5 linked regions of the Oryctolagus cuniculus genome follow. The protein of the gene in region 1 purifies or fractionates together with the protein of each later gene. This does not show direct contact. Links are inferred from orthologs where the notes say so. Each region holds a gene or a part of one and is shown in the gene's direction. Other genes may lie near its edges.

Region 1 (5,084 bases):
CCCAGGGCCCATGTTTGCCTGCGTGGTGTGTTTGTGAAGCTGGGGGCCAGAATACCGACAGGGCCCCTGAGACTCTAGAGAGTGGTCTCGAGTCAGGATTTACCAGTCTGCCCTTGGCTAAGAAGGACCTAGTTCCAGCGGCGACTCTGCCACTTAACCCCTTGCGCAGAGTCCAAATGGCCTCAGTATCTTCAGTTTCATATAAAAGTAGCAGGTGCATATTCAGTAAATGTCATTTTACACATGTCATTTGGCGACTCTTAGCTGAGTGTTGGTAGCTGAAGACATTTGTGAATGAGGACTAAATGATCCCAGGAGATGTGGAGTTGGGAGAAATTCTAGCCATCAGTTTGAAAAGACTAGAACTAGGGGCGATGTGCGACCCAGTGGCTAAGCCACACTAGGATGCCCACACCCTGCATCCGAGGGTCTGGCTCCAGTTCTGACTCCTCTGCTTTCCATCCAGCTTCCTGCTCATGCACACTGTGACAGGCAGCAGGTGTAGCTCAAGTGCGTGGAACCCTGCCACCCACACGGGAAGCATGGATTGAGTTCAGGGGTTCAGGCTTCAGCCTGGCGCAGTCCTGGCTATTGAAAGCATTTAAGGAATGGACCAGCAGAAGGAAATGCACTCTCGCTCTCTTTCTCTCTGGGTCTAGTTTAGCCATTGCAGGAACTGAACCAAGGGGCACTGGGGGCACCCCAACTCCCCAGCCCTCACCCACCTGCCACGGCCCAGGCACCTCCAATGGCCCAGGAGGCGCACCTAACTTCCAGGTGACGCAGGGTGCCAGGGAAACCTGCAGGGCCGCGGTTACATGGGAATAGCGGGAGGCGGCCGGGAGGAATAGCAAGGACGCTTGGCCGTAGACCTTGGGGTAAGTAATTGTCAGGACGTCTAGGAGCGCACCGAATAAAGCCAGGGCGAGAACGCCCGTGGGCGCAGGTGATTTCTGAACGGAAGTGCTCTTTGAATGCCGGGGCCTAGCGAGGGCGGGGTCAGGGGCTTGTCTGACTCAGTTTACCCAAGACCGGCCTTGCTCCCCCCACCCCCGCCTCCAACGCGCCGCCAGGACGATCCAGAGGGCTCGGGGGTCAAGGGCAGGGCCTGCTTCTTTTTCTTGAAATTCCCGCCCGGGCTCTGGCCAGGACTCTCCCCTCGCAGCTCATCACGTGCGCAGCCCGAACTGTGCAAACCCAGCCCGGGGCCCGGGTGGTTTTTCGGGTTTTCTTGCTTTCTTATTTCCCTTCGTCTTCTCCACAGTGGATGATTTTCTGCAGAAAAACGGCTGCGAAAAAAAAAAAAGAACCGATTTCATTTCCAGTTCCCATCACCGCGATTTCCACATGGATGTGACGTCGCATCCCCGCTTCCGAAATGCCCAGGTGACTCACGCGGGGACACCCCGCGGGGCGGGGCGCAGGAGTTTCTGAGCCACGCCGGGGCGGGGCGGGGCCAGGCCGCCGGGGGCGGAGCGTCCGGGCGGAGCGTCCGGGCGGGGCGGGGCGGGAGCGGCGCGCGCCGCGGGCCTCCAGCGAGCGCCGCGTCCCCTGCCCCCTGGCGGCCGGCGCCGGCTCGGCCAGGCGGGCGGCGTCACGTGACTGGAAAGTCCCCGCGGAAATCCCCCCGGCTGTCGCGGTACAACTGAAAGGGTAGAAAGGAAACTGCGCAGTCTGCAGCCCTCGCAGCCGAGCGCCAGGACTTTGGAGTGCGCGGGGGCGGAGCGGCGAGCGCGGCCGCCAGAAGACATCACACACACCCCCACCCCGGCCGGTGAGCGAGCCCTAGCCCCGGCGTCCATGGGACGCCGCCTCGTGCCGACCCCCGCCCCGACCGCCACCTGCGGCGCGCGCCTGCGGTGACCGGCGCTTTGGGGAACTTGGGACTGACTCTGGGAGAGGATCGCGCCGCCCGGAGAGGTAACCCCCGCGCGCTGTGCACGGGCTCTCTGGGGCTGCGGGTGCGAGTCGGCCCGCCTCCCTGGCCTTGGCTCTTGCAGCGTCCCCCGGAGAGGAGTCTGTGGCTCTTGTGTACCCGTGCTGAGTTTTGGAGTGTTGGGCGCTGCGGTCGCCGCGCCAGATGTTGGGGTGACAGCCGGCTCTTGCTTTCCAGTAGTGCAGAGAACCTGAGCTGCAGGTGCCTGGCGCCCCTTGCTCGGGTGGTCGTTGATGCTTCGCCCGTTTCTTTGCCTCTTTTTTAGGGGAGAGGTGGAGGGGGTGGAATCAGGCACTGCATGTTCTCGGCCACGTAGGCTTTTGCAGAAGCTGTGCGGCTTCCTAGATTTTGCAAAACCAGCCAGTGGCGGTGGGATTGTCCAAGGGGCCAGCGCTCTCCCCCCGCCCCGGGGACAGCGTCCGGGCGCTCAGTGGGCTTTGCATCGGGGTGGGCTCGCGGCACGGGGTCCCGCTTTTCGGCTGCAGCGATGGAAGAGAAGTGTGCATGGAGAAGTGGCTGGCCGGCTTGCTTTCGGGAGTGGGGAGCGGGATGCACTCCGGGAGCGCCGTGCAGGTCCCCGCCGCACCACACTCGGTCTCTCTCTGTACAGCCTGGGTCGTCTCACATCCTGCCACCTGGCTTCTCAGGAAAGCAGTGGTATTAAGTAAAGAAGGAGCTCAGCTCTTTCGGAGCTGGCTTTGTTTGGAGTTCCCTCTGCTGAGCCTTCCTTGGAAAGCTGGTCTGCTCAGGTGTCACCGGGCGGCTTTTGGGGGGAAGCATGTTAATGAGAGCCTTCCGGACCCTAAACCTGCAACACCGGCTTGCTCAGCGGCCAGCCAGACAGACAGCCGTGTTGCTTTGACGTCTTGGAGATTCTTTGTACAATTTTTGACTTGTTGGAGCAGTGCCTCTCAACGGTGGAAGTATTTGTTGGTAAATCATTCATAAGTATCCGTATCGCAGACAAAAATGTTTGTCCAAAGACTTCGAGTGAGGAATGAGTGCAGTGAGTTCAAGAAGAATCTCATTGATCCTAGTGACCAAAAATAACGGGAGGGGAGGGATGATCTTTAAGTAAGACTCTGGGGTAACAGATGTAGGAATTACATGGGAAAGGTATTACTACATTTTTTTTGGCATGGAAGAGCATTATAAATGTATCAGATGAATGTATATTTTAATCTTAAATGTGGAGAAGCCCCAGAACTGGAAACTTGGGCAGTAGGTTTCTCTTTAAAGGAGTCAGACTTGGAGGCTGTGCACACCTGAATCCGTGAAGGAGGCCACGCTGGTTATGAAATACTGTCTTTACGTGTCTTGCATATGGTTTACAGCTCTCACTGGTTTAGATCCGTGCTGAATGATCCCAAGATCCAGACAACAGGAGAGTGAGAAAGGCAAAACAAGGCAGCCCCTCATTTGTTAGAACTCTCCCTACTGCCTGTCTGTGTTCATCCAGGAGTGCCAGGCCCTGTGGCCACAGGTGTGCTGCTGTGGGCATGGAGGGTGCAGGTGTCGGGAGACCCGGCTTCCAAGGCAGGACTCTTCCGGCATGGCTGTGGGGCCTGTGCAGGGCCTGTGACACTGTTGCCTTGGCTGCAGACCGAGGTGGTTGTATGAATTCAGAGAGGGGAGTAGAGCCTACTCCCCTTCTTGGCTTTTAGCTCCAGCCTCACCGTGGCGTTGGCCTTCAGTGGGTGACCAGACAGCCTTGTTGGCTGGGTTCATGGGTGGATGCATGGATGGATGGAAGAGCGGCATTGTGAAAGAGACCATGCTATGCCTCGAAGGAGACATGTGTGTCGTATTTCTGTCCCTTCCTTGTGTCTGCAGTCCCGTGGTGATTTTGCCCAATCCATCTGCTGGGAATGTTGGCTATCACAGAAGAGAGCACCATGCCACCCAGAGAGGGACTTCTCCCAGACCCCACCCAGCAGTCAGGAGAAGAATCCCAGTCCAGAATGACCACCAGAAAGCTCCTTGACAGCAGTCGGGCACCGTCTGCTTCCCACCCACCCTCCTTCTAGTGGGCCACAAGAATTCAGGCTGTCGGTGGCTTCCCCAAAATCTGGGTTTCTTCTCCCTTACACAAAGGTTTAGCATCTTCCTCAAGGGGAAAGTTGCCCTGACAAACCGTATGATGCAGGAGTGGGATTGACAACTGTTAGGAAACTTCCCAGGGATTTTTTTTTTATGCTCTGAAATTGTCTGCATCTTCTTGGAAATTCACCCTTCCCCGGGACTAGTGATTGAGAGCTGGCTCTCTGCACAGCTCCACCCTGGAGAGGTCCCATGGTCACTCACATCCTTCCGTGCTGTTGGCATGGGTTATTGATGCCAGCCTTTGCCCTTACTCCTCTTTGTCCCGAGTGGCCACCTTGTTGAAAGTTTCTTCCTTGCATGCATCCAGATTTTCATTTCTTCCACCAAGTGATGACGCGTGAAGATTTTAGGGTGCGAGGCGGGCTGGAAATGCATGCATATGAGTGTGGGTACCTACGTGGTGGTCATACACTCTGCTTGGCAGTGGCATTGAAACGATGGAGCTCCTATGTCTGTTGTCGGATGTGTAGAATTTCCTAGTCCGTTGTCATTCTTCGTGTCTTACTTGGATGTAGTTAAGCTCAATGGCCAGGTTCTGAAGGGATGTTCTTGAAAATAGCAAAGCTTCTTGTTGGACATAAGCTTCTTGGTTGGTTATAAAAATGTTTGGTTTTAACCGGTTATAAATATCATCATAAACTTCACAAATAAGCCCTCTGTGCTTCTTCTGGGCACTGGAGAGGAAACCCCAGTCAGCAGGCTAGGTGACAGCATGAAGCTGCCGGTTTCTCATAAGACGTTTACCATTCTCCCGGCGTAAGGAGGGAGTGCTTCAGAGAGAAGTCGAGACTTGCCCATGAGCAGAGATTACCCGGTGGTGGGCTTGGGGAGGTAGCCTCGGTCTCATCTTTCTCTGCTCCTGAGATGGAGCAGCTGTTCCCAGTGGCGTCCCCGCGGCACGGGAGCTGACATGGGTTTGTGGAGCAGGCCCTGGTGCTGATGCACACTTGGCTGCCTGGCAGACATTACTGAAAACATGGGTTATCCCCCTCCTCCTCGGCATCCACCCCCCCCCCGCACCCCCCCTTCTCTTGTTTAGACTAAT
Region 2 (3,568 bases), on another chromosome or scaffold:
GGCCCCCAGCCTGAGGCTGACCCTGCTCCCAGCATGCACTAGGGGAGCCGGGTGGCCCCCAGCCTGAGGCTGACCCTGCTCCCAGCATGCACTAGGGGAGCCGGGTGGCCCCCAGCCTGAGGCTGACCCTGCTCCCAGCATGCACTAGGGGAGCCGGGTGGCCCCCAGCCTGAGGCTGACCCTGCTCCCAGCATGCACTAGGGGAGCCGGGTGGCCCCCAGCCTGAGGCTGACCCTGCTCCCAGCATGCAGTAGGAAGCAGGGTAGCCCCCAGCCTGAGGCTGACCCTGCTCCCAGCATGCACTAGGGGAGCCGGCTGCCCCCCCAGCCTGAGGCTGACCCTGCTCCCAGCATGCAATAGGGGAGCTGGCTGCCCCTCCATCCTGAGGCTGACCCTGCTCCCAGCATGCACTAGGGGAGCCGGGTGCCCCCCCAGCCTGAGGCTGACCCTGCTCCCAGCATGCACTAGGGGAGCCAGCTGCCCCCCCAGCCTGAGGCTGACCCTGCTCCCAGCATGCAGTAGGGGAGCCGGCTGCCCCCCCAGCCTGAGGCTGACCCTGCTCCCAGGTGCTGAGAGGGTACTCTGCTCACCCAGCAGTCGGGGGCCTGCTGAGCAGGGAGAGCCGAGACCCTGTGGCTAGGGCCTGGCCACGGCGTCTTCCTGCTGGCGGGTTGTGGGGACACGTGTGGGGCAGGCTGTTGGTGGGCCGGGCTGAGGCTGCGTGTCACCCCTGTGCCCAGCACAAGGCTCCTGGTCAGGCCCTTCGCGGGCAGTCGGGTGAGCGTGTACAAGGGCCGGGGCAGGCGGGCAGCTTCACTGACGAGCCCTTCAGGGAGAGACTTGGCCAAGGACCCCACCCCGTCTCCCGTGGAGAGCGAGCGGGGCTGTGTCTCAAGCCCAGAGGAGAGTGCAGGGAGAGGCGTGGTGCTCTCAGCTGAAGTCACCGTGTGGCTCCCTGAGCGGCCGCCCGTGCGGGTGGGGCCTCCGGCGGGCAGCCCCGTGCCCCTCACTTCTCGGCCTGCCGTGGCTGAGTCACCCGGGGCTTCCCGGCGCAGGCCGGCTCAGGACTTGCACTTCCTTCGTCACCGGAGGGGAATTCTCGGCGACAGCGTCCCTGACGGCCAGTCCCCGGCACGCGCGGTGCGCGGAGCTTCCGGGGGTCCAGACGGGTGTTTCCTGAGACTCGGTCTCCCAGCACGAGTTAGATGACCGCAGCGGACCTGAGTGGGAACAGGACAGCGTGGTGGGCTCCAGGAGGCGGCCGGGCCCATAGCTCTGGGGGACGCGGTGGTGATCATGGCCTCAACCCCGGGTCTGGCTCCGCCCCTTGCTGCGTGGGCCACGTGCCGTGACACGGTCTCCTCTGTGCTTTGTGCAGCCCACGTGTCCAGGCACGGACAGCTCCGTTCAGGCCGCCATGGAGAAGTTACGGGAGGAGAACCGACTGTTAAAACAGAAAGTGACTCATGTGAGTGTCTGCGTCTCCTGGAAGAACACGCACCCTGACCGAGTGCGACGAGGGTTCTTCCCCAGCCCGTGCCCAGTCGTTCCCCCACCGGCTGGCCACTGTGGCTTGGTGCACACGGCCCCAGCAGCCCAGCTTCCTGCCCGGGGGATGAGCAGGACGTGTCCTGAAAGGCAGAATTAGAGGGAGAGACAGAGAGAGAGAGAGAGAGCGAGAGCGAGAGCGAGAGCGAGCGCCTCCACTCACTGGTTCACGCCTCAGATGCCCACAGCAACTGAGGCTGAAGCCAGGGGCCTGGGACGCCCTCTGGGTCTCGCCCCTGGGTGCTGGGGCCCGGGCAAGCCGCCACGTCGCTCTGCTTTCCCAGGCCTGTGAGCAGGGGGCTGCTGGAAGTGGAGCAGCCGGGACGCGGACCGGTGCGCGTGGGGTGCTGTGTGGCAGTTGGGCGGGCTGTCCTGCCGCCCACGGTGCCCGTCTGATGGAAAGGAAGTCGAGGAGAGGCAGAGACTCTAAGGCAGGAAGGCGGCAGGGAGTCCACTTCTGTCCGAGAGCGAGGCTGCGGGTGCTGCTGCGGTGGGCTCAGCGTCCACTCCACGCGTGGGGAGAGGTCGGCGAGGTACTGCCGGCGCGCGGCGCCAGGTTCGGCCTTCGGGCTCCGCCGCCTTTGCCGTGAGCTTCCCGGCCGCGCCTCCCCAGGTGGAAGACCTCAACGCCAAGTGGCAGCGCTACGACGCCAGCAGGGACGAGTATGTGCGGGAGCTCCAGGCGCAGCTGCGGGAGCTGAAGGCCCCCCGGGAGCCGGAGCTGCTGAGGAAGGAGGTTTCCCGGCTCAACAGGCAGCTGGAAGAGGAAGTAGACGCGTGTGCGGACGCGAGGCAGCAGCTGGCCGCCGCCAGGACCGCCCAGGACGCTGCCCTGGAGCGGGTGCAGATACTGGAGCAGCAGGTCTGTCCCTGGGCTCTGGGCGGCACCCGCCGTCGTCTGCCTGCAGGTGGCGGCCAGCTCTCAGCACCGGCTGGGTGGTGTCGTGGGGGCGGGGGGGGGGGGAGCCCGGGGAAGCCAGCTCTCAGCACCGGCTGGGCGGTGGTTGTGGGGGCAGTGGGGGGAGCCCGGGGAGGCCAGCTCTCAGCACCGGCTGGGCGGTGTCGTGGGGGCGGGGGGAGCCCGGGGAGGGTCTTCCTTCTCACTGGAGCAGAACGAAGGTCCCGTGTCTCCCCAGATTCTCGCCTACAAGGATGACTTCAGGTCAGAAAGGGCCGACCGGGAGCGGGCTCAGAGCAGGATCCAGGAGCTGGAGGAGCGGCTGGCTTCCCTGCTGTGCCAGGGGTCTCGCCAGGGGTCTCGGAGACAGGTAGGGATGGGCGGCGTTCTTTTCCGCGTCATGGACTGAGCCCTTCCGTACCTTCAAGGCCCCGACCTGGCGGCCCCTTCCCGCCTTCCTGCGCTGTGCCACGTTTAGCTGTGAAGAGGTTGGCAGAGTGGCTGTTCTGGGCCTGCGCCGCCTCCCTGTGTGTCCCTGCCGTGTGACCAGAGAGCAGGATCCCTCCTGGCAGTGCCAGCCGTGCCCCGTCCTTGCTGCGAGACAGGGACCCAGTTACCTCGTCACATGGGGCTGGCACGGGCCTTGACAAGAGCCCTGTAGGGTCCTCAGCTCAGCCTGTGCCCGGCGTTGGTTTAGTGCAGTCCCCACCGTGAGAGGTGCCTGGAGAGGGGCCGGCGTAAGTCAGGACTGGCGAGGTCTCTGGCGGTGTGACCTGTGGTGCCGACCTGCCCGTCCACACTGCAGAAACCCCAGGGGAGGTTCGTTCCTTTGGCCACTTAGCGAGTTTCTGGTACAGCCCCGGCCTGGAGTAAACTTCCTGTGCTCACGTGGACTGGACCGCCTCTGGGAGGCGGCGCACCCGGGGCCGGAGCGCGGACGCGGAGCCCTCCCAGCTGGGTGTGTGGGGCCTCCAGCTCTGGTCTGTCCCGAGCAGCCCCTGGGCCTCATGGGTAGCTTCCGCTTCCCATCCCCCGTGCATGGGCGTAGGAGAGTCACGGTGGACACCCTTGGGCTGAGTCTTCGTCAGGGGCCATTTCTTCTGTGCATGACGGGGGGAGGGG
Region 3 (4,492 bases), on another chromosome or scaffold:
TTGGAACTCGTACACGGCTTGTTGAGAGTCCAGACTGCCAGCCAGGGATGGGTTGGAATTCGTACCCTGACCATGTTTAACATTTTTCTATAGAGTCTTTTATTTTTAAGATTGATTTATTTGAAAGGCAAAGTGACAGAAGGAGAGACAGAGACACTCTTCCATCCACTGGTTCGCTCCCTAAATGCCCACAACAGCCAGGACTGGGCCAGGCCAAAGCCAGGAATTCCATCCGGGTCTCCCATGTTCCCACGTGGGTGGCAGGAACCCAGACACGTAGGCTACCTTCACTGCCTCCCCGGCGCACTTAAAAGGAAGCTGGATGGGAAGTGGAGACGAGGACTCAGTCCAAGCATCTGACACAAGATGCGGTGTCCCAAGTGAAGGCCTAACTTGCTGTTCGGTGCCCGCCCCTCTGACGATCCCTTCCGATTCTAAAATGTATCATCTTCTGTGACGGTTTCTTTGGCATCAGTTCCCAGGACAGGTTAAGCCTCATTATATCAAGAGATAGCAAAGATGTTTGTGAGGCAAAGATACAATCTCTATGTGTGTCTGTGTGTCTCTTTGTTTTTAGTTTGTGTGATTTATGTGATTCGGTGTGTCCTGTGTGTGTATCTCTGTGTGTCTGTGTATCTCAGTGTTTTGTATATGTGTGTGTTTTGTGTATCGGCGTGTATACCTGTGTGTCTGTGTTTTGTTTGTGTATCTCTGTGTCTGTGTGTTTTGAGTATGTGTTTTGTGTGTGTCTGCTGTGTATCTGTGTGTCCGTGTTTTTGTTTGTGTATCTGTCTGTTTTGTGTCTCTGTGTTTTGCCTGTGTCTGTGCTGTGTATCTGTGTGTCTGTGTATCGCTGTATTTTGTGTATGTGTGTGTTTTGTGTGTGTATCTGTGCGTATCTCTGTGTGTCTGTGTTTGGGGTATCTGTGTCTGTGTTTTGTGTATCTCTGTGACTGTTTTGTGTATTGTGTTTTGCGTGTGTCCGTGCTGTGTACCTCTGTCTGTGTTTTGTTTGTGTATCTCTGTGTGTTTTGTGTATCTGTGTTTTGCGTGTGTCCGTGTTGTGTGTGTGTGTGTGTTTTGTTTGTGTATCTCTGTGTGTTTTGTGTAGCTGTGTTTTGCGTGTGTCCGTGCTGTGTATCTCTGTGTCTGTGTTTTGCTTGTGTATCTCTGTGTGTTTTGTGTATCTGTTTTGCGTGTGTCCGTGCTGTGTATCTGTGTGTGTGTGTTCTCCAGTGGCAGGGCCTCTGTTCACCATCGCCGTCTCCTCTTTCAGTTGTAAGGAGAACCCAGTGTGCATGAAACTGTGCCTGCCCCCGACCGGGAACGTCCAGGGCTCTCAGGACTCAGGTGAGGAGGAGCGCCCTCGCCCAGCTGCCCTCTACAGTCCTTGCCCCTCCCCCACCCACCCATCCCCCCACCCATCCCCTGACCATGAACTTCGCTCTGCAGGCGCCACAGTGCTGCTGCCCCTGGTGATCTTCTTTGGTCTGTGCCTGCTCTCCCTGCTCTTCACTGTTTTAATGTGCCACTACCAGCGGCGGTGGAAGCCCAAGTTCTACTCCATTGGTGAGGGGGCCCTTGGCAGGGGACAGGGCGCTGGGGAGCCTGTGGGAGGAGGCTGGGTGGCTCAGACACGCAAGCGTGGGGGGTGCGAGGAGGAGGGTCCCCCATCTCACTGCCCAGGACTCTGTGGGTGGAGGGGGGCCCTGAGTGGCTAGGGGGAGGTCACGCTCTGTCGCTAGTTCTCTTGTCCCTGGGGCCACATAAGCCGTGAGGCATGTCACCACAAGTCCCCACTGCCAACCCCAGGACGGGGCGCCAGGCCTGAGAAGAGGGGAAGTGAAATTTATACTCTGTTTCTTTTTTCTCAGTTTGTGGGAAAGCGACACCTGTCAAAGAGGTGAGATGAAACCAGAGACCTGCCCCCCAAATTTCCCTGACTGCTCCTTATCATTGTAACACCCCGATCACCTGGGATCACCCTTGCTCCCACTCGGGGGCTCCCCTAATTCCCTCCAGCCCCAACCCCCAACCAGAATGAGGGCTGAGGCTGCCTTCCCCTCCCCCACTAACGCTGTGCCCACTCTCTTTCAGGGGGAGCTTGAAGGTCTTCCTGCCAAACCCCTCGCCCCTGCCCCAGGAGTCTGCCCGCCTCCAGGCTTCAGCCCCATCCCCGGCTTCAGCCCCGACCTGGGCATCTGTACCAACTCCACTTCCACCTTTCCCCGTGAGGACTGGCCCAGCTTCAGGGCTATGCCGCCCTCCAGAGGGGTGGCCCTGGCCTACCGGGAGGCTGAGCCCGTCCACACCACGGCCCTGGCCTCCACACCCATCCTCACCCCGCTTCAGAAGTGGGAGGACTGCAGCGCCCCCGCGGCGGTGGCCCCGCAGCAGCGCCCCGACAGTGAGTTCCTCGCGGGGTCGGGCGCGGCTCCGGGAGGCAGCAGGGCCGGGTGGAGGGCGGCCGCAGAAGGCTCAACGCCCCGCGTCCCCACAGCCGACCCCGTGACGCTGTATGCCGTGGTGGACGGCGTGCCCCCATCTCGCTGGCGGGAGTTTGTGCGGCGCCTGGGGCTCCGCGAGCACGAGATAGAGCGGCTGGAGCTGCAGAACGGGCGCTGCCTGCGCGAGGCCCAGTACAGCATGCTGGCGGCCTGGCGGCAGCGCACGCCGCGCCACGAAGCCACGCTGGACCTGCTGGGCAGCGTGCTCCGCGACATGGACCTGCTCGGCTGCCTGGAGGACATCGAGGCGGTGCTGGGCGGCCCCGCCTCCCAGCCGTCGGAGGCCCGCCTTCCGCGGTGAGGCCACGCCCCTCTGGGGGGCGCTGCGTGCCCCGCCCTGAGGCCACGCCCTCTCCGAAGGACGCTGAGTGCCCCGCTCTGTGAGGCCACGCCTCGGCTGCCTGGAGGACGTCGAGGAGGCGCGGCATGGCCCGCTTCCCCCTCCTGTCGCTCCGCCTTGCCTGATGGAGCCACGCCCCCGGCTGCCAGGAGGACTTCGAGGAGGCGAGGCGTGGCCCCGCCTCCCCCTTCGCTCCGCCTCACCCGGTGGAGCCACGCCCCTGGCTGCCTGGAGGCCGTCGGAGGCGCTGTGTGTCCCTCCTCCTGGTCCCCGTCCCCGCCTCGGAGGAGGAGCCTACCCTGGGAGATGCCCTCTGGGCCTTTTCTTCTGGAGCGGATCCTGGAGGGGCAGGCGTGAACTAGCAGCCACTTACTTGGTGCTACCCGTTCCGTGCACACACACAGCGTTTCAAACTCAGCTGCCGGAGCACCGCCCAGCTGTGCCCGCTTGAGTGCTCCCGAGGCTGAGCGTGCCCGGGGCCCGAGTGGGTGGTTGTGGACTACAGGACGTGGAGGGCCCAGCAGAGCTGCTCCGGCCCCTGGTAGGTCCGGGGACCTCTCTCGCAGCAGATAAGCATGTTTATATCAGTTGTGTCACACTAATAGAACCCTGGCGCCCCTCTGCCCCTTGCCCGGACGCGTCCTGGGGCAGGGGCCAAGGGCAGAACAGTGAGCCCTCCAGCCGGAGCGGCAGGCTTTTGTAAATTCACTAAAACCCAGAAATTAAAGCTCCACTCCCACGGGGATGGTCTGTCTCTGTGGGCATCTGCACCCTGAGGGGTGGGGTGGGGAAAGTCCCAACCCAGGGCCAGAGGGCCCACCAGTCGCGCGGTGACAGCACCCCCCCACACACACCCCCATCTTCCCAGGCTCAAGCAATGCCACCCACGCAGCCGTTTTTATGCACAACTTTAGGGGGGGCGCAGGGGTGTCTGTGGTACATAAATCTACAGTTCCTGATGGCCAGATGGCCAGAGTCCTCGCAGCAGAAGGCAGGTGCCGGGAAGTGTGGTCCTTGAGGTAGTGTGGGGGCAGGGGTGACCAGCACTCTCCGGGAGAGCCTTCCTCCCCGATGCTCACACCTCTCTGAAAAGAAAGGAGGTGGCCAGTAGGCGAGGGTCCAGGGGTGTGGAAGAGGCCCCGCCCCCCGTCTGTCCCCCCCGCCCCCCCCCCGCCAGCTCCCCTTCAGCACTTACGAAGTGGACAAGGGCGTGTCCAACTGTATGACTTGCGGACCCCGCATCCTCTGCAGCTGGGCGCGGGTCAGCTTCCGAGGCTTGCCGTCCCCGGGCTCTGTAGCTCCCTCGATCCTTTGCGTGGCCAGTTCCTCCCGGATCTGTCGGAGCATGTCCTCAGCGCTGAGTGGCCGGACGCACGGCCTGCGGGCTGGCCCAGAGAACGGAGGCCCCTCTTCTTCCTCGTCGGCAGAGGACTCCCAGGGGCTTTCCCCGGCCGAGTCCGTGTGGGAAGGGGAGGGGCAGAGCTGGCCACGAAGCCGGGCCCTGTGCAGGGTTTCCGCCACCACGTTCTCGCCCACCGAGACCCCATTTTCCTCCTGCGACCAGGGGCGCGGGTCCGTCCCCGGATGGCTGACTCCTGTTTGGATGTCTTCCGGCAGCTCGGGGGCGCTTCGGCGTTGAGCAGCT
Region 4 (4,572 bases), on another chromosome or scaffold:
GAATAACTGGGGCCCTAAATTACTGCCATGGTTTGCTCTCTGGAACATAAAAGGAGCTCTTCTCCAAAGAACCTCAGGGCAAGATGCTGGGGACCGGGCCCGCCGCTGCCGCCGCCGCCGCCGCCACCTCAAGCAACGTGAGCGTCCTGCAGCAGTTTGCCAGTGGCCTGAAGAGCCGGAATGAGGAGACCAGGGCCAAGGCTGCCAAGGAGCTCCAGCACTACGTCACCATGGAGCTCCGCGAGGTCAGCCTTCAGGGATCTGGCACCCGTCATCGTGGGGTGTTTGGGCCGGACGTGCCATCACTGGTGTATTTCACCTTTTACTTAGCCGGTTTTCATTTGATGTTGAAAGGTGAAGAGATAAATCTGTCCTCTGACTTGCTCCCCATAAGCCTGCGACAGCCAGGGCTGGGCCAGCCCAAAGCCAGGAGCCCAGAACTCTGTCCAGGTCTCCCACGTGGGTGGCAGGGGACCCACGTCCATGAACCACCACCTGCTGCCTCCCACGGTGCACGTTAGCAGGAAGCTGGCTCCAAAGCAGAGGTGCTGGGACTGGAACCAGTCACTTGGATGTGGGCTGTGGGTGTCCCTGTGAATGCCCACCCCAGCATCCCTGGCTTAGACTCCCTTGGACAGCTAAGTGAAGCTTGAAATGTGGATTCTGTTTTAGAAAAGCCCCCAGCTCCTCCCAACCCTAGAACAGGGTCCTCTCCCGGGGTTGCACGCTTCCTTGGCATTTCTTGTGTCTGTGGGCACGATCAGGGATCCACATAAGTTCAGCCTATCAGCTATTTCTGCCTGATAAAAGTGGGTTGGGATGGGTTGGAGAATTGATGGAGACCAGACTTACGGTCAGAGACAGCATCTGGTTCATCCTGTATCCTGACCCAGCAGGCACTCAGGAAGCAGTTACAGATAGAGGTGCATTGCAAGGTCAGTAGCTCTGTGGTTGAGAACTGCAAATGGGCAGAAGCTTGTCTTCCTGGTTTGAGCCACACCTGCTGCCTCTCTCGCCCCAATCCTCTCCGGCACCACCCGTCCCTCCCAACTCCCCCTCTACCCTCGGGGCAAGACACCTTAGAAATCCTTCTGGGCGCATCTTCCTTTCAGATGAGTCAGGAAGAGTCAACGCGGTTCTACGATCAGCTGAACCATCACATATTTGAACTGGTTTCCAGCTCCGATGCCAGTGAGAGGAAAGGGGGCATCTTGGCCATAGGTAAGGACTGAGTCTGGTGCTAGGAACAGCAAACAGGTAGGAATACAGGGCTGGTCACCTTTGTGTCCACCGGGCCCATGTCTGCCACTAGAAGTTCCATTCATGTTTGTGAATTTTCAGGAGCCGTGCGGCTTTCAGTGCCCTTACAGGGGTCCTGATTCTATGAGCAGTCCTAGGATGTAGACCGAGCAGGTGTTTTTAGAAGTGGAAGCTGAGTCCCAGAACCATTAAGCAACTCTTGTGGGGCCAGTGTGTCAGAGCTGGGACCGGAAGCCAGCTTTCTACTACCCCGTGTTGCCTGTGCAGGTGCTGGTTTCTCTGTAGGGCAGGGTTTGGCCTAGCAGGGCTTATGAATGGAGAAGTGAAATTTCGGTGCAGTTCATGAAAGACAGGTCGTCCTTCAGCTCCCAAGGACTGGTCTAGTCCTGTGAATTATGCAGTCCCGGGGGTGTGGGTTTTTCCCCTAATTTCTTGGGGAGACAAAGTATATATACTACAATAGTGCTGTTTTACTTGGTGTAAGTCATTATGACACGGATATCAAATCTTAGGGAAAATGAAAACTGCCCGCACCCTTACGACGTAGCCATGCGCTCAGGGCAGAGCGCGGTGTTGCTCGCCAGCCTTTAGTTGCGGCCTGGCCAGCGCGCTGTGCCTTGTCACCTTCTGCCACCTTCTCTTCCAGCCAGCCTCATCGGCGTGGAAGGTGGGAATGCCACCCGGATCGGCAGGTTTGCCAACTATCTTCGGAATCTCCTCCCCTCCAATGACCCGGTTGTCATGGAGATGGCATCCAAGGCCATTGGCCGCCTTGCCATGGCAGGGGACACTTTCACTGCCGAGTACGTGGAGTTCGAGGTGAAGCGAGCCCTGGAATGGCTGGGTGCTGACCGCAACGAGGGCCGGAGACACGCCGCTGTGAGTGCCCGCGGAACTGGGCGTGGGAACCGTGGCGTTATTTTAGGGTCCCCGGCTTCCTTCCAGGGTTCATCCCCAGAAGAGGCTGTTCTGGTGGGCCAGGATTGGACGCTGTTAGATGGGGTAGTGACTGCACAGGGGAGAGGACCTGGGAGTGGGCAGTGGGGATCAGAGGCCTCACTCAGATGCCTTCTAGTCCTCCCTCTTGAGGGACCGTGCTACAGGAGGGAGCCTGGGACCGGGAGAGGGACACACGTGGGGACCTGGCTCAAGTCTTGGCTTTGTCACCTCCTAACTCCGTAATCTGGCACAACCTCTGACCCTCAGTGTCTTCTTGTCAAATGAAAATCCTAAGATAAAACCTGAAACAAGTGTGCTTACGCAGTGACTGGGCCGGGCTGTCGGGGCAGTGGTACGAGAGCCTAGTGTGTGCCTTCCCGAGGCTCTGTCTTTGTCACAGCCTACGATAACGAACATGGAGGAGTCTGGTCCATTTGCTCTCCTGTTCTGCCCCCAGAATTCCCTGTCTGGAAGAGAGGGCCTGCCTTCCCTTGTCCAAGCAAGTGTGGTCCCGAGGGAGCAGAACTCTGGTGCGAATGGCAGTTCTCAGCTGCCCCCCTCCCCCCCTTTCTCCTAGGTCCTGGTTCTCCGTGAGCTGGCCATCAGCGTCCCCACCTTCTTCTTCCAGCAAGTGCAGCCCTTCTTCGACAACATTTTTGTGGCCGTGTGGGACCCCAAACAGGCCATCCGTGAGGGAGCCGTGGCCGCCCTCCGTGCCTGTCTCATCCTCACCACTCAGCGAGAGCCGAAGGAGATGCAGAAGCCGCAGTGGTACCGGGTGAGAGCCTGCAGTGCACGTTCACGCCGTCAGGCAGCTTCACGACCCTCAGCAGGAGTCGGTGGTTCCTCTGCTGCATTTCGTGAAAGCAGAGGCCCAGTGATAGATGCAGCATCATCTCGTGTGTCGCTAAGAATGAGAACATGCCGGTCAGGCCATGACTCAGTGCCTTCCGCACTCCAAGACATCTGTTCTGAGGTGTAAAAACATGCTTCCTTGCAGACTCGCCGGGAGATGGCTGGTAGGAGTTTAGAAAGGGCGGTGCCTTCTGCTCTGGTGTCCTGAGCTCTGTGCCGTCTGCTGCTGCCGAGGGGCTGTGAGCCTGCTAGTACCGCAGGCGCCCTGCGCGTAGGACGGGAGGCTGGCCTTCCAGGCTTGCCTGTACGTGTGACACTGCGCGGCTCACTCAGGGTCTTTGAGCCTGGGGGCGGGGTTTTTGTTTTGGCAGGTGATAATGATACGTATCTCAGTGGCATGTGAGGGCAGAAGAGCTGAAGCTAAATTAAACAAGCGCACGACCAGTCAGTGTTACGCTGGTCCACGGCGCCGAGCACGTGTGGGAACACCCCGGAACCCCAGCGAGGGCTGGTTGGGCCTGGCTTCTCTCCAGCTCTGGACGCTGGGTGAGCACAGGATTCTGTCCGTTTCTGCAGCACACGTTCGAAGAGGCAGAGAAGGGGTTTGATGAGACCCTGGCCAAGGAGAAGGGGATGAATCGGGATGACCGGATCCACGGAGCCTTGCTGATCCTCAACGAGCTGGTTCGGATCAGCAGCATGGAGGGCGAGGTGAGATGCGGCGGCCGGGCGGGCAGAGCAAGACCCTCGTCCGCACGGAGCGGGCACTTTTAGGAGGAAACAGGTGACAAGCAGGTAGACAGGACAACTTCAGACAGCAACGAGTCCTGGGAAGGAAACACAACAGGAAAGAGGATGGAGGTGAGGGGTGGGGTTGAGTGCAGTGGCTGGGCTCAGGCCCGATCTGGGAGGTCGGGCTCCAGCTGTGATCTTTCCTGTGGGAAATGCAGTGTCAGGGAAGGCCCTCTCTGAAGCAGAGCCATTGGAGTCCAGAGGCCGCAGGACATGCAGGAGCCCCTTGTAGCAGGCCAGGGGCTGCGTTCCAGGCAAAGGCTTTGAGGTGGGAGGAAAAGTTGGTCAAGTTTGAAAAATTGATGAAGCAGAAAGAAGGGGCGTGTGGCTGGTCCCTTACCACAAGAAGGAGAGAAGGTGGGAGGTGTGGTCAGGGAGGAAGGGGCTCGTGGTTCGTGGTCAGCACTGGCTCCTCTTCTAGTTACAGGGGCAGACATTGGCCGTGTGCACACAGGGTGGCGATGTGCGGTGTGACGCCATGCCTTTTCTAAGGTGTGGAGAGGCAGGAGTCAACGCAGGGAGACCAGATAGGAGGTGAATTAGCTTGAGGAGATGGGTATAAAGTACCAGGGTGAGGGTAGAAAGGACAGAGGTTTTATTAGTGAAATAGCCGGTAAGAAAATGGGAGGGGAGGTGGGAGAGCAGGAAGACCACATTCTACCTCTGACCCTAACTGGACAAGAGGTGGGAGAGAAACTGGGTGGAGTCTACTGTGCAAGGCCTCCG
Region 5 (5,117 bases), on another chromosome or scaffold:
TCTCTCTCTCCAACTCTGCCTTTCAAATAAATAAATTTGAAAAAAATTGGTAAACTGGCATAATTCCATCGCAACCTATAGAATATTAAATTAGCTTATTGAGTACAGTCTGGTTCATTAATTGCTTGACAGATCTGTTTATATTGATTTATCTGTTGGTGTATTCAGAATGAGCATATCTGGGTAAATTCTTCATGTGGAACTAGTTAAATTAACATTCCATGCAAGTTTTTAAGTGTTGCTTGTTTTTAGATCCTTTAAAAGTAGGTCACATATCTAAATGTGAATTTTTTATGTATTTTTTGTTCTAGAAGTCAATATTAAGACACAATCTGCACAGTAGACCAGCTTGCTATCTCTCCCAGGACCCCTTCTGCTTGCCATATGTAGCCTCCTACCCCCATTAAAAAGGAAAAGCATGATCTCTAGAAATTTTCTTAAAAAATAATCATTTTCTCCATTTTTAAAAATTTAGGAACAAGTTCCTGTTCCAGTCTATCATCCAACACCCAGCCAGACTCGGCTAGCAACTCAGCTGACTGAAGAGGAACAAATTAGGATAGCTCAAAGAATAGGCCTTATACAGCATCTGCCTAAAGGAGTTTATGACCCTGGAAGAGATGGATCAGAGAAAAAGATCCGGGAGTAAGTTTTTAATAAATTTATACTTTTCCTCATGTACTTTGGAAGTCAGACATGCAAGAGAATGCTTAAATGTAGCAATTAAAAGGATTTTCATATCAAAATAGCTAGAAAATGATGGCATGAGTTCTGACCATTTATACTCATGCTGCCTATCCACTGGATTACAGTTGATAATTAGTCATTCAACCATGTGAATGTGAACTGAGACCCAGTATACAGATATTCCCATAGTTTGAGACAGGTTCTGTACCCAGTAAAACAGAGTCCTAGGGCTGTGTTTCCAGAGGTGTACCTCACTCCTCTCACTAAAGCTTTATGGACAAGGCCGGCGCCGCGGCTCACTAGGCTAATCCTCCGCCTAGCGGCGCCGGCACACCGGGTTCTAGTCCCGGTCGGGGCGCCGGATTCTGTCCCGGTTGCCCCTCTTCCAGGCCAGCTCTCTGCTGTGGCCAGGGAGTGCAGTGGAGGATGGCCCAAGTGCTTGGGCCCTGCACCCCATGGGAGACCAGGATAAGTACCTGGCTCCTGGCTCCTGCCATCGGATCAGCGCGGTGCACCGGCCGCAGCGCGCTGGCCGCGGCGGCCATTGGAGGGTGAACCAACGGCAAAGGAAGACCTTTCTGTCTGTCTCTCTCTCTCACTGTCCACTCTGCCTGTTAAAAAAAAAAAAAAAAAAAAAAAAAAAAAAGCTTTATGGACAAAATACTCAGTGGAGATAGTCTTATTTAGGCAAAAAAAATTATGCAAGCTGCATTCATGTTTAGGACTTCAGTAATTTGTAGTATTGGAATTCTTCAGTAAGTTATGCAACCATTAAACTTGTTTCTTAAGGGTTTTTAGTGATAGGAGAAGTCCTGTCTATTTCTAAACTTGTGAAATTTATTAAGCCTGATAAATTGAAGATGAAATTTTACTTATGTGGAATTTTTGTTCCCAGGGCATATATTATCTATGAGGTTTCCAATGAGAACAGCTGTTCTTTTAGGTTGCAAATGGCCTCACCAAAATAGACACGTTGTGATTTACTTTGTTGTAGTTTGACTGTTTGAAGTTCACAGCACTATTTAGCACTAATACTTAACAGCATTGACACTTAAGAGTCTAAACACTGATGAAACACTGCAGAATGGGTTGCTTCTTGAGCCTGAAGAAACCGAGTTAATGAAGAGAGCTTTAATGTAGAGCAGCCCCAATAAGTAGGCTGAAATTAGTGCTTCTGTTTTTACATGTCATTATTAAAATGAGAATTATATTAGTCTGGGATTACACTAAAAACTCAGCACAAAGAACAGGGTTGATAAAATGATGATTGCCTACCTAAAGATGCTTTCAGGTATCTCCCAATGTGGAGCTGTTTTATAAGCTAGCAGTGGATTGATCCCCAGTGTGACACTTTTTTTTTTTTTTTTTCTCTGTTGATTGCTCTTAAGTCTTGCAAATTCCCAGGGAGTTGGAATAAGACAATATGTGTGAATCAGCACTCACTAGGAAAAGTTCCGTTTTGGTGATGACTGAAATGCCACTCTAATGTGTTGCTTGGATTAACACTGTCTTTGTAATGGGATTTTGAAGAAAATTCTGAGTGGGCCACTTCTCTAAAAATGCCTTCTGATTTCTCTCCCCGCCCCCAACAGGTGTGTGATCTGTATGATGGACTTTGTTTATGGGGACCCAATTCGATTCCTGCCGTGCATGCACATCTACCACCTGGACTGTATAGATGACTGGCTGATGAGATCCTTCACGTGCCCCTCCTGCATGGAGCCAGTTGATGCAGCACTGCTTTCATCCTATGAGACTAATTGAGCCAGGGTCTCTCGTCTGACTTCAAGTGAACCATCATTTTGGTGGTTTTGATCTTTTGTCACTGAGCCCAAAGAGCCAGGAATTAGGAATTAAGATCATGCACAAAAGTTTCCTAGAAATTCCTGGATGGCTGCAGATGTTGGGGGAAAGTATGTGATATTTTAGAAATTAGGGGGGAAAGTAGGATGGTATTTTTATGTAAAGCCTTGACCCAGTGTTTAAAAATATAATTGTATTTAGATCTTGTAATTGCTCCAGTACATAGGAATTGTGTAAAGTGTTACAGCAGCTGTATATGTTTAAATTGTGTGTGTTGAAGATTAGGAAAAAGATAGTGGTTATTTTTCCTAAATGAAATAACGTTCTCCCCACCCACCCACCCAACTCAAATTCTTTTCTGAAGTTGCTGGCATTTGGGTCAAGGTTTTATTAAAAGCTACATTTTATAACACTGGCACAAAAAAAAAAAGTAGTTTTAAGCTTGTTTGCACAGTTCTTTTTTTCCATTGGAAATGGAATTCATTGCCTTAGGTCTTTTTAAATAGTGTATTATTATCGTTGGGGCTGGCTCTATGCTTGAAAACCAGTTTATTTATAACCTGTTATAAGTGCTATATTCTGTTTGCAGTTAGGAAATGCAGAATTCAAAGTGGTCTCCTAGCTTGTAAGCAAACTGAGATGCACTATCCCTTTTCTATATGTATTTAAAAAAACTGAGTTAATGGTGTCAAGAAATAAATTCTAGCAAAGTGGGGTTTAATATTACCATTTCCTATGTGTTTTATCTAATTCTTTCAGTTGTTAATATGGTGATAATTGAAAGTTAAGGTAAATTTTAAATATTAAGAGTTTTGATTTATTGAATTATGCCACCAGTGCTTATGTAAAAATAAGTGTAGCACCATGGTGAAACTTAAATGAGAAGTAGTTTCTCAGCTGTAACACTTTTGATTTATTCTCTTTCCTGTGACCTCCTTCCCTGTTGTCTTGAACCATAGCAAAAGGATACTGCATCTCTCATCACTGTAGTGCTGAGGTTATTGAAGTTCTATAAAACACATCTCAGTCTTTGTTCTTGGGAAGATACTTGTTAAGTCCTGCTAGCTAGCTGACGAGACAAAGCAGGGAGAACCAAGATAAATGTGTTTCATGTTTGCACACAAATGCAGAATTTGTATAACCACCCGACTTCATGGTTGTAATCTCAAAAAAGAAGGAATTTCTTCTTTATCTTTTTCTTGCAGTTAATGTAAGAATAAATCTCTAAGCTTCTGAAGTGTTAGAGGTAGGGATGGTCTGGTAATGATGTAGTAGTAATGTTTCATTTAGCATGTGTTTGTTTTTCCTTATGTACTCAAAGGTGACTTATTTGTTCAACTCAGTGATACTACAGCTAGCTAAAAATCGTTCATTAGCAAAAGGAGAAGCTGTCTCAACGAAGAACTTGCTAGTTTATATTGAGTTGAATTTTGACTCAAACAGTTCTGTACATTCAGAAGATGAGTATCTTGAAGGTTCTTTATAATTACATTATAGGGGACTTCAGTATGGTATAAGTACTTTGCAGATTGAACATTCAACTGTAGTATCCATATGTTAGTTAATTTCTTGTGAGCCCCATGATGGAAAGACTTAAAGATGAATTTGAGAAAGAGTGAATGAAATTAGATTATCAGGTTCTGTTAAATTGTTACATGTATCTTGCTTAAATTTCTGTTCATTAATTTATATCCACCCAATTACATAAAGCAAATTTTGAAGAAACCCCTGAAGTTGTGCAATATTTTCAGTGACAATTTTTTATTATGTTTTCTACTTAAACATGTCTGTGTCATCAAGTATTATAGTCAGATTTTCTTTTTTTCTAGATTAAAGTTGGTAAATGAACTTTTTTTAAAATCATCTTCCATGTTACAGTTAGTCTTTCTTTATTACAAGGCTTCCTTCACAGAAGTTTGGTAATAATGAAGGAACCAGTATTGAGTGGGATAATTCGTTTTTAAGAATTTTGTATTTAACTTTGTTCTTCACATTGATGTTAAGAATCATCAGTTTTGGTTTTTACTAAGTTGTTAAATAAACTTACAGTACAGCTATAAAGGGCTCAAGTTAGAGTTAATTACATAAGAATATTCTAGATATCTAACCCTTTAAAAGTTATGTATAAATTTAATTATTCAAATTACTTTTAAATGTACATACACTCATACACATGGTGTATACATTTGTATACTTCAAGGAATTTTTTAAAAGTTTACTTCAGAGAAAGGGAGAAAAAGTGAGTGAGCTCCCTTTTACTGGTCCACTCCCTAAATGACCACAAAGGACCGCTGGGGCTGGACCAAAACCAGGAACCAGGAACTCTATCCAGGTCTCCCACGTGGGTGGCAGGAGCCCAATTACTTGAGCCCTCCCTGCTGCCTCCCAGGATCTGCATTAGCAGGAAGCTGGAGTTAAGAGCCAGAGACCAGTATGGAACCCAAGCACCTTGATTCCAGGGCACCGGGGTCCTGAGGTCCTAATCACTAGTGTAAATACCTACCCCCTGGGAAGTTTTGTTTTAAAGTGTTTTTTATTGGTTGGCATTTTGCATCATTGAAGCATATACTTAGACTTGATAGTTTTAATGTTGCTGAAGTCCGGTGATAGGAATAACCTTATTTAGA

Evidence for each region. Proteins that work in one complex are often made in the same cells at the same time.
Region 2: the proteins of TNFAIP3 (region 1) and TNIP2 purify together in Homo sapiens (affinity purification with western blotting; 5 studies listed by BioGRID and IntAct, with this or other methods). This does not show direct contact. The link is inferred for Oryctolagus cuniculus from reciprocal best matches to the Homo sapiens genes TNFAIP3 and TNIP2.
Region 3: the proteins of TNFAIP3 (region 1) and TNFRSF1A purify together in Homo sapiens (affinity purification with western blotting; 7 studies listed by BioGRID, with this or other methods). This does not show direct contact. The link is inferred for Oryctolagus cuniculus from reciprocal best matches to the Homo sapiens genes TNFAIP3 and TNFRSF1A.
Region 4: the proteins of TNFAIP3 (region 1) and MTOR purify together in Homo sapiens (affinity purification with western blotting, with the first as the bait; 3 studies listed by BioGRID). This does not show direct contact. The link is inferred for Oryctolagus cuniculus from reciprocal best matches to the Homo sapiens genes TNFAIP3 and MTOR.
Region 5: the proteins of TNFAIP3 (region 1) and RNF11 purify together in Homo sapiens (affinity purification with western blotting; 3 studies listed by BioGRID and IntAct, with this or other methods). This does not show direct contact. The link is inferred for Oryctolagus cuniculus from reciprocal best matches to the Homo sapiens genes TNFAIP3 and RNF11.

What each region holds. Positions count from the first base shown.
Region 1 is NC_091436.1:30,968,550-30,973,633, reverse strand, and holds the start of TNFAIP3 (tumor necrosis factor alpha-induced protein 3), read left to right. Parts: upstream 1-1,636; 5' UTR 1,637-1,774; exon of another isoform or gene 1,775-1,920; intron 1,921-5,084. UniProt on the Homo sapiens protein: Ubiquitin-editing enzyme that contains both ubiquitin ligase and deubiquitinase activities.
Region 2 is NC_091433.1:1,475,669-1,479,236, reverse strand, and holds part of TNIP2 (TNFAIP3-interacting protein 2), read left to right. Parts: intron 1-1,378; coding exon 1,379-1,468; intron 1,469-2,161; coding exon 2,162-2,410; intron 2,411-2,684; coding exon 2,685-2,816; intron 2,817-3,568. UniProt on the Homo sapiens protein: Inhibits NF-kappa-B activation by blocking the interaction of RIPK1 with its downstream effector NEMO/IKBKG.
Region 3 is NC_091440.1:103,146,381-103,150,872, forward strand, and holds the end of TNFRSF1A (tumor necrosis factor receptor superfamily member 1A), read left to right. Parts: intron 1-1,276; coding exon 1,277-1,350; intron 1,351-1,452; coding exon 1,453-1,569; intron 1,570-1,874; coding exon 1,875-1,903; intron 1,904-2,097; coding exon 2,098-2,407; intron 2,408-2,500; coding exon 2,501-2,808; 3' UTR 2,809-3,590; downstream 3,591-4,492. Other genes in the region: PLEKHG6 (pleckstrin homology domain-containing family G member 6), read right to left, coding at 3,923-3,932, 4,043-4,492.
Region 4 is NC_091438.1:157,067,910-157,072,481, forward strand, and holds part of MTOR (serine/threonine-protein kinase mTOR), read left to right. Parts: intron 1-53; 5' UTR 54-83; coding exon 84-245; intron 246-1,112; coding exon 1,113-1,221; intron 1,222-1,906; coding exon 1,907-2,139; intron 2,140-2,776; coding exon 2,777-2,977; intron 2,978-3,630; coding exon 3,631-3,765; intron 3,766-4,572. UniProt on the Homo sapiens protein: Serine/threonine protein kinase which is a central regulator of cellular metabolism, growth and survival in response to hormones, growth factors, nutrients, energy and stress signals.
Region 5 is NC_091438.1:121,666,159-121,671,275, reverse strand, and holds the end of RNF11 (RING finger protein 11), read left to right. Parts: intron 1-475; coding exon 476-645; intron 646-2,279; coding exon 2,280-2,451; 3' UTR 2,452-4,215; downstream 4,216-5,117. UniProt on the Homo sapiens protein: Essential component of a ubiquitin-editing protein complex, comprising also TNFAIP3, ITCH and TAX1BP1, that ensures the transient nature of inflammatory signaling pathways. Promotes the association of TNFAIP3 to RIPK1 after TNF stimulation.